Linked DNA regions of Arabidopsis thaliana. The protein of the gene in region 2 interacts with the protein of the main gene of each other region in a pairwise test. Each region holds a gene or a part of one and is shown on either strand. Other genes may lie near its edges.

What was found. Proteins that work in one complex are often made in the same cells at the same time.
Region 1: the proteins of AHBP-1B (region 2) and AT2G47870 interact in a two-hybrid assay, tested with the Arabidopsis thaliana proteins (one study listed by BioGRID).

The regions. Positions count from the first base shown.
Region 1 is NC_003071.7:19,601,375-19,604,436, reverse strand, and holds AT2G47870 (Thioredoxin superfamily protein), read right to left. Parts: upstream 1,275-3,062; 5' UTR 1,099-1,274; coding exon 787-1,098; 3' UTR 542-786; downstream 1-541. Other genes in the region: SETH6 (Phototropic-responsive NPH3 family protein), read right to left, coding at 2,349-2,927, 2,998-3,062. UniProt on the Arabidopsis thaliana protein: Has a glutathione-disulfide oxidoreductase activity in the presence of NADPH and glutathione reductase. Reduces low molecular weight disulfides and proteins.
Region 2 is NC_003076.8:2,149,168-2,155,107, reverse strand, and holds AHBP-1B (bZIP transcription factor family protein), read right to left. Parts: upstream 4,269-5,940; 5' UTR 3,977-4,268; exon of another isoform or gene 3,973-3,976; intron 3,800-3,972; exon of another isoform or gene 3,311-3,799; intron 3,048-3,310; 5' UTR 2,986-3,047; exon of another isoform or gene 2,982-2,985; intron 2,894-2,981; 5' UTR 2,786-2,893; coding exon 2,720-2,785; intron 2,621-2,719; coding exon 2,549-2,620; intron 2,461-2,548; coding exon 2,401-2,460; intron 2,280-2,400; coding exon 2,202-2,279; intron 2,125-2,201; coding exon 2,073-2,124; intron 1,786-2,072; coding exon 1,514-1,785; intron 1,421-1,513; coding exon 1,175-1,420; intron 1,081-1,174; coding exon 934-1,080; 3' UTR 522-933; downstream 1-521. Other genes in the region: AT5G06940 (Leucine-rich repeat receptor-like protein kinase family protein), read left to right, coding at 4,337-5,940.

The sequences.
Region 1 (3,062 bases), on a different chromosome or scaffold from region 2:
TATAGCATGATTAATACCCCTAGAAAAAGAAAAGAGGCTTGTCAATTTATAATCTAACGGATTCTCTCAACATATCTCCTTTGATTGAGTCATTGCGCAAAGTGAGGATAAATGAAAAAGATTGGACCTTTCGGTGATAAACATGTATATATATGTATCAACAATATGCATCGTACATGGTGATTCCGCCAACACCAACTTGCCAAAGAAAATTATTCCATCTTTCTTTTTTATATATTCTTCTTTCACACTTACACTAATGTTTGATTCACTTCTCTCGAAATGTCTTTCTTGCCGGACGCACGCGTGAATCACACGCATATGTTAACTCTGCTGCGTCATTCTTGGCTTACTTTTCGATTGTTTTGTGGGTGTAGTAATCTTTTCATGAGCGAGATTCTCTTTTATGTTTGATTCAAAAACGATCATATATATACTAGTTATAGCATAGTTACGTTCGATATTCATTTGTATATCGGTTAGGTATTATACTACGTACATTTTTTTCTATAATCGGAAGATATTATGCTAAATCCAGATGATATTCCGATATTAACAGAAATCTTTACGTGATGATTGATTACAGTCTAGTTTCTCCGTATCAACTGATAATTAATCTCCACGAGCATCGGAGCATGCATAATCTTCTATATATATGGTTACTAAAAGTATAATTCAATATTCATGCAAGCTTAGATAAATATATGTATGTATTATTCACGAGATGACATAATATGAACTAGTGTGTGTAGAATAAATGATAGTAAGAAGCGTGATGATATGTAGTCACAACCATATGGCGTTAGAGGCCTTTAACATCTGCTTGAGGGAGCCATCCACGTGGAAGGAGATGACGTCTTTAGCTGAGCCGACGTACCTTCCTCCTACGAAAACCGCAGGGACAGCAGGGTTAGACCCGAATACCCGGAAGAGGGCCCGTTCCATGTCAGGGCCTTGCGGGTCCTTGTCAAGCTCATGGATGGCAGGACTCGCCCCGAGTTCGTAGAAGAGAGTCTTGATGCTATGACACATGCAACACGAGCTCTTCGTGAATATCACAGCCGCCTTCTCCGATGCCAAATCTCTTACTCGTTCCATCGACGATGTGACAAAGAAGTGTTAATTCGAGGCCTTGAGTATGGATGATAAACAAGCCGATCGATCAAACTATTATTTATAGCCCCGCCGCATTCGGCATATATTTTCGGAAAATGAACGCGATCAATTATATAGTTTGGTATGTTATCAAAAAAGGTAAGTTGTGTCGCTTTCGGTCTGCGACAGGCAGCAGCATCACATACCCTTGACATTTGTTTATACATCACAATATATAGTAGTTTTTCTTTGGAATAAATTTATGGACAAAAAGCTGAAATTTATTGTTTTTTTTTTTGTAAGTTAGTTATTCAAACGTATAATTTAAAATGATAATAATATACAAAGGTCAAAAGCAAAAATCTGGTGTTGACTGGTGTGGTGTTTAAAAATGTCATCTAATAAAAAAAAAACATAGGCTTTTTGTTTTTGTTACAGATTAATAAAGTAGTAATTATATAGTTATTTTCATTACATCTAGGTACGTTTTGGCCAACCTGTTAGAGAGGGAGCCAAAATACTTTTCTAGTGTGGTCACAGCAATTGAGTTGTGGAATCACCAACCCAAATTCCAAACCAAGACTTGATTTCATCCTCTCTTTTTTCAAGATATTTGTCATTAATGTATATATTCCCTTACAAAATATCTCACAGGTAAGGTAGATATATTACCTTGTCGAGGGGATCCAACGACGTGGCAAACGCAAGGACCAGTCATGTTAATTAGATTCTTTTAGTTCAAATCTCGACGTCCATAGTTCTTCTATGTAGGTCGTAGATTATATTCTGTTTTTTTTTTTCCTGTCATCACAAGGCGTTGACACTTGACATAGTGCAAATTCTCTGTACCTATAAAGCAAAGATTAGGCCCGTGAGTAAAAAAAATCTCACAGTTTTTTTCACGTCTAATATACTCCGGAAGATTTGTAGTGGGCCGTTGAGCGCAATGAGATATAATATATAGGCCTACTAGAAAAGGCCTAGAAAAGTGACAAAGGGATCAAGACTTAATTCTTGCCCCATTGAGCTGGAAACAAAACTAGAACAAAATGTTTTCCGTTAAGGGTCTTCTTGATCCATATCAATATATCATCATCAACGAACAGTATATACAAGACAAGCTTTACACACTTGGGAATGTATTATGCAACTCTAGAATCTGTAAATTACAAATTTACACACTCAAATTCACTCTCGTCTTTTCTTTGTTAAAGAAATATTACAAAAGAGTAGAAGAAGAAGAAGCAAGCAAGTCAAGAAACAGAGTGACATCTTCTCTTCTGAAACATGAATCGTCTTTCCGAATTCGTTTTCTCCTCCGTATGCTTTTTACCGCTACTGGCAACACTTTGGCTGCTCCTAAATCTCAAAACGATTGCGTTCAACTTGTTCAGACCTCTCGAGAGCTTCCTCAACATTCCATAACGCCTCCTCCTGCTCTGCGGCTTCACGAAGTCTCTCTTCATCGATACATGATCTTTCTCCAGGTCCGTTAGCCTCATCCTCATCCTGGCCACCTCTAGTCTCAGCTCTCTGTTCTCTCTTCTCACTGATGCATAGTTGTCCCTCGGCGAGATGGCTCCGCTTGCCATCCCGCTTCCCGAGCGGTTTGGGAACAAGAAGAACTGGCTTTGGTTCGAACCGCCTGTGCCACCGCCGCTGGTCATGGCGTTCTTGAGCCGTGTCTGTTCGTAGAACAGGACTTGAACCGCAATCTGAACCGGAAGTCTCTCGTTTTGCGCCGCGTGGCTGCTTGCGTCCTGCGACAGTTTCTTACAGCTGACTGTCTTGCAGAGACGGTAACGTTCCGAATCTTTCATGTGGGGGTGAACCTAATACAAAACCGTAACACAGCAATCAAAATCATACAACACTCATTCTCAAAAGCAGACTCTTTTATACCTTGAGGAAGATATCAACGGCTCGGTAGAGGCCATCGCAGACGACGCGAGCATGGTCAGGGAGAA
Region 2 (5,940 bases):
CAGAGGCAGAATAAGAAAACTGAAGAACTAAAACCCCTAAGACTATTGAAGAAGAGACTCACCTGAAAAGAACGGATTCTTTGAGCTTAACCCCAAACAAAAGTTGCTCGGAGAAAAAGCGATTTAGAGAAAGATCCGGAAAATTCCAATCTACAACTGCAAAGACGTGGTCTTTGTCTAAAACCCACAACAGATATAGTATCAATCACCAACAAAGGTTACTACTTTTGTATCTTCCTTCTTTGAGGTATTTTTAGTTGTACGATCTTCTTTTTTTTTATTTTGCCGGTCTCTGAAAAAAAACAGGAATGGAAGACGAAACTCAAGTGATGGTGGACCTCTAGATGCTGAGGGTTAAAAAGTCCTCTGAAAATTGCAACACTCTCTTTTTTCTAAAAACAAAATAATTCTTGGTTTTGACAATGACATGTCCCTTTTTTTATTACAAAAAAATCTATCACACTTACTTTGAATGTAAATTCATTTTCATCATCTCTTGGAAGTTTACATTAGAATCCTCACTAAATAAGATTTAAGACACAAGCGATGAAACTACAAAACTCAAATAGAACATCTTAATATTGTTAAATGATTACAGTACAGAAGTTGCAAGGTTAAAACACCTTTACCACACACAAAAGTAACAAAAAAAAACAAAATTCAATAACCTTTCTAAGATAATCGAAGATGCTATATAAACAACATTGAACTTTTCAAATGCTAAATTAAAAACTGATGACTACAACTAAAACAACATGAATTACCACAACCATGTAGAAGAAACCTACATACAAAGAGTCTTTTGTTTCCCAGAAATTTGCTTATTTGTTGATGGATTTGGTAAGAAGAATCTGACAAGTGTTGATTAATAGTCTCTCCTGGTTTTGTGTCCATATGGATTTTGTACAGCTGACATGTGACCAAAATACAGTTTCACTCTCTGGGTCGAGCAAGCCATAAGGAGCTTAGAGCTCGTAGCCGTGAGAAGTAATCGTGTATTGCAAGTAGAGCACGTGCTGACTGTCTCGTTGTTAATACTCTTATCATCTGTTGCAATGTTTGTAGTCTCAAATTATCAGCCTGCCACCACCAACCAAGAGACGATTATTAACCTATTGATATATATATATACTCTTAACTAAGATATCATCTCAAAACATCACAAGTGTTGTACCTGGCGGATAAATCCTTCGAGTGTACCTAACTTTCCCATTGCCATGGCCATCTGACCCATGTAGCTTGCGACATTCCCTGATGAACTTGAACCAAGAGTCCCGCTCGATAAAGTATCAGCTAGTGACTGTTGTAAGCTCTCCATCCCTTGAGACAAAGCATCTTCAGCCTGCTGCGATGTCTGTTGCAGGTTATTTATGCCCATCAACTGTCTCTCTGTCATTGGCTCCAACTGATTCGCCAGAAGCTGTTTCAACACATTTTTCCCTATGACCATTCTTTTTATGTTCTATGTAGAAACAGATGCAATCGGTGAAGACAAAGTGAAATTTGACCTCACCTTTAGAAGTTCGGATGAACGAAATCCACCGAGCCACAAGAAACATCTCTCAGCTGGTGTTTTCCACATGCCAGATAGCAAGTGAAAGACATCATTCTTAGCTGCATTGCTCTTTATCCTGAAAAGCTCCTCATAGTGAGCCATCACACCATCGACTATTATTCGAAGCTCAGAATCACCTGCATGCGCATTCAGAGCAGACCTCAGCTCGTTCATTTGCTTGTTCTTTTCTTCCAACCACCGTGAATGTTCAGCATCAAACGCCAAAGCACCTGAATTAAAAAATTTATACATGATCAAAACAAACCCATGAGATTCGTCATCTTGTAAATCTAAATCTACACCAGTGCTAATTAGAATAACAGTTTTTGCTATCAGAACCATGTCAGTCTGCCACTGACTCTGATAACCCAGTGTATTGTAATGGGATGAGATATGATGTACTAATTGATCAGTCTACACCAAGTCAACAGGAAGTTGATATATGAACTTAACTTATACACAAATTAGAAGCCAAAAAATAAACATAATTAAAACTAATGGAGAATAAGCAACCAACCATTTCCACCAGTAGAATGGGCCTGGTCTCCTGTGCCTGAAATGAAGACGCCCTAGAAACAAGAAATTTACCGTTAGGTATACAGAATAACAAAATAAAAATCAATAGAAATAAGAAACAAATTTGAACCTGCTGTCTTGCTCTTTGCAGCTCCTGCTCAAGCTGGGTTAGTTTCAAGCGGCTGTTCTCTAGCTGCTGAACATAAGCCTATGGAGGGAGCAATTAAAAGGAATTAACGTAGTACCAAATAGCTATGCTTCTAGCGATGCACCAATTTAAAAAGAAAAGAAAAAGTAAAAAAAGATAAAACCAATGGAAGGTAATATACCTTCTTCCTCAATCTGCTTTTCCTTGCTGCCTCACGGTTTTGAGCAAGCCTACGAAGAGTCTATGGATCAAAATATAAGGAAACAAAAAGAGATTATAAATTGGCTGAATAAAAACAGTGATCTTATCTACAGAGATGGACATGTCACCTTTTGATCCATCTTTCCCTTCGATCGGTCACTCGAATCAGAAGCAGCAGTATTCACTAGTGCTCCCTCCGACTGCATTAAAATTAACACCAGAATTTTTGTTTGGTCCATAAAAAATCACACTATTTTGAAGAATATAAGTGATAAAATCTAGCCAGATTATGAGCTAACCCCAAGATCAGGATGATCTGTGTCGTCATCTGTTGAGACATCAGTTCTCGGACTGGTATCAGCCATATTACTTTCTCACCACTTTTCTGTACTAACACTTGATAACAAAGACAATATCCACTTGTGGCCTCTCTTTTAGTAACAACTTCTTGAAATTTCTCTTGTGTGCACAGACTGCCAGGATTCGGAAGGAAATTAAGAAAAAGAAAAAAAGACAGAAAGAACAAAATTAGGTGATAGAATATAAAAGAAAGATCAACACCTACCAATACGAATCAATAGGAAATGAATCAGGAACAAATGTTGGTCACCCGGAGCATTGGCTGCGCTGAATGAGCACAAAAAAAAACAGCATTACATACCATCTCTTTTGCTAACATAGTTTTCAATTATGTCCTATAAAGTCAAGAAAAAGGTTCTCTAGTTTGTTTCAGTTAAACAAGCCAGCTAAAGAATGCTAAAGAGTCCTTTACTTATTCAAAGTGTCCTAAGGGAAATTCTGCTGACTACCATAAGTCACAAAGTCAAATATATAAGAACAATCTGTTTGTAGCTAACAGACTGACAAAAATAGCCCATCAAAAACACAACCTTTAAAGCAATTCATCAAACCCAATCAGACATGTAGCTTGCACAATCTACAAAGTCTGAGAAACTCATTCAGACCTTAAGCTTAGCTCGCGGATCAAAGTCAAAATCAGTGAGACTTAAGGTGTTGGCACAGTCGAAAATGCCTGAGTTTGAAAAATTAGGTACAGTCACACTCACACACATCATTTCAATTCAGTTTGAATGACACTAAAGTAGCTTCAGTAGCTGAATCTCTTAGTTTTGCAACTCTAGCTAGAACAAAAACTATTCAGTATTCACATCCGAGTTGACTCAATTCCTTACTCAGTATTCATATCCGAGTAAAGTAAAAAAAAAAAGCTAAACTCTAAATCTAGAACCAGTGAGAATTCGGCATGAAGCTGCAGCTATGATTTCAAACCAAGAAACTACCACCGAAACAGAATTCAAGAGATTAACATTTAATTCGATGATTTTGGTAGCTCAAAATTAAGAACAAAATCACCAATTAAAAAAAAAAAAAAGCTGAACTCTTTAAGCTTGAGAAAGTCAACTAGGTTTAACTTCAAAAGCAAAAAGACAGAGTTAACAAGTAGCTTCTTAGGACTGTGAAGGAGAAAACTCCCAGAAAAAAAACAAAGGAAGAAAAACCCTAGAAAAAAAGGTTGGCTTGATGAAGAAACTGACCTGGAAAAACGAAATCTTGAAGGTGCACAAGTAAAGGGCTTGATTCGAAATCGGATTGAAACAAAGAAACAGAGAGAGACACGATCCGAAATTCCAATCTCCGAGACGTCGTTTTGTCTACAAATCTACCAGTTCCCCATAGACCCTCGACCAAAATTTAACGGGAAATTTCAAACTAAACCCTATACTCTTTATTTTTACCATTAACCAACCCTACTATCTTATAATTGCAAAACCCACCCCGTATTTTCAACACCTGAAATTCAATTCACTCTCACTCTCACTCTCACTCTCACTCTCACTCTCTCACTACTTCACTCATTCAGCAGATCCTCTTCATTCTCTATTCTTAACTCATTAATGGCTACCAGATTCAAGCACCAGTTTTCAATCTCACTAGCCTTGACATTCTTCTTCTTCTTCACCAAGACCTTCTCTTTCACAGAGAACGAGGAACTTGGTAACCTTCTCAGATTCAAAGCCTCCTTTGATGATCCAAAAGGCTCTCTTTCAGGTTGGTTTAACACTTCTTCTTCGCACCATTGTAACTGGACTGGTATCACATGTACTAGAGCTCCTACTCTTTACGTCTCTTCCATTAACCTTCAAAGTTTGAATCTTTCTGGTGAAATCTCTGACTCCATTTGTGACCTCCCTTACCTCACTCACCTTGACCTCTCCTTGAACTTCTTCAATCAGCCTATCCCACTTCAGTTGTCTCGTTGTGTTACTTTAGAGACTCTTAATCTCAGCTCTAATCTCATCTGGGGCACAATCCCTGATCAGATTTCTGAGTTTAGTTCCTTGAAAGTTATTGACTTTAGCAGTAACCATGTCGAAGGTATGATTCCAGAAGATTTAGGGTTATTGTTTAATCTCCAAGTTCTCAACTTGGGAAGTAATTTGCTCACTGGTATCGTCCCTCCTGCTATTGGGAAGCTAAGTGAGCTTGTTGTTCTTGATTTGTCTGAAAACAGCTATTTGGTTAGTGAGATTCCTTCTTTTCTTGGGAAGCTAGACAAGCTTGAACAGCTTCTGTTGCATAGGTCAGGGTTCCATGGAGAGATTCCTACTTCGTTTGTTGGTTTGACAAGTTTGAGAACCTTGGATCTGAGTTTGAACAACCTGAGTGGTGAGATTCCTCGATCATTAGGCCCTTCTCTCAAGAACTTAGTGTCTCTTGATGTCTCACAGAATAAGTTATCTGGCTCTTTCCCTAGTGGCATTTGCAGTGGTAAAAGGCTTATTAACCTTTCTCTCCACTCGAATTTCTTTGAAGGGTCATTGCCTAACTCCATTGGTGAATGCCTTAGTCTGGAGAGGCTTCAAGTGCAGAACAATGGATTTTCTGGTGAGTTTCCAGTTGTGTTGTGGAAATTACCCAGGATTAAGATTATTAGAGCGGATAATAATCGGTTCACAGGTCAAGTGCCAGAGTCTGTGTCTTTGGCTTCTGCATTGGAGCAAGTTGAGATAGTCAACAATTCCTTTTCTGGTGAAATCCCACATGGTCTTGGATTGGTTAAGAGCTTGTATAAGTTTTCTGCTTCACAAAACCGGTTTAGTGGAGAGTTACCGCCGAATTTTTGCGACTCACCTGTCCTTAGTATTGTAAACATCTCTCACAATAGGCTCTTAGGAAAGATCCCAGAACTGAAAAACTGCAAGAAGCTTGTCTCTTTGTCTCTAGCAGGCAATGCATTCACCGGAGAAATCCCGCCATCACTTGCTGATTTACATGTTCTGACCTATCTTGATCTATCTGATAATAGTCTTACTGGTTTGATCCCTCAAGGCTTACAGAACCTAAAGCTTGCTCTTTTTAACGTGTCATTCAATGGATTATCAGGTGAGGTACCTCACTCTCTGGTCTCCGGGTTACCAGCTTCCTTTCTGCAAGGAAATCCTGAGCTTTGTGGACCCGGTTTACCCAATTCTTGCTCCTCTGATCGGTCTAACTTCCA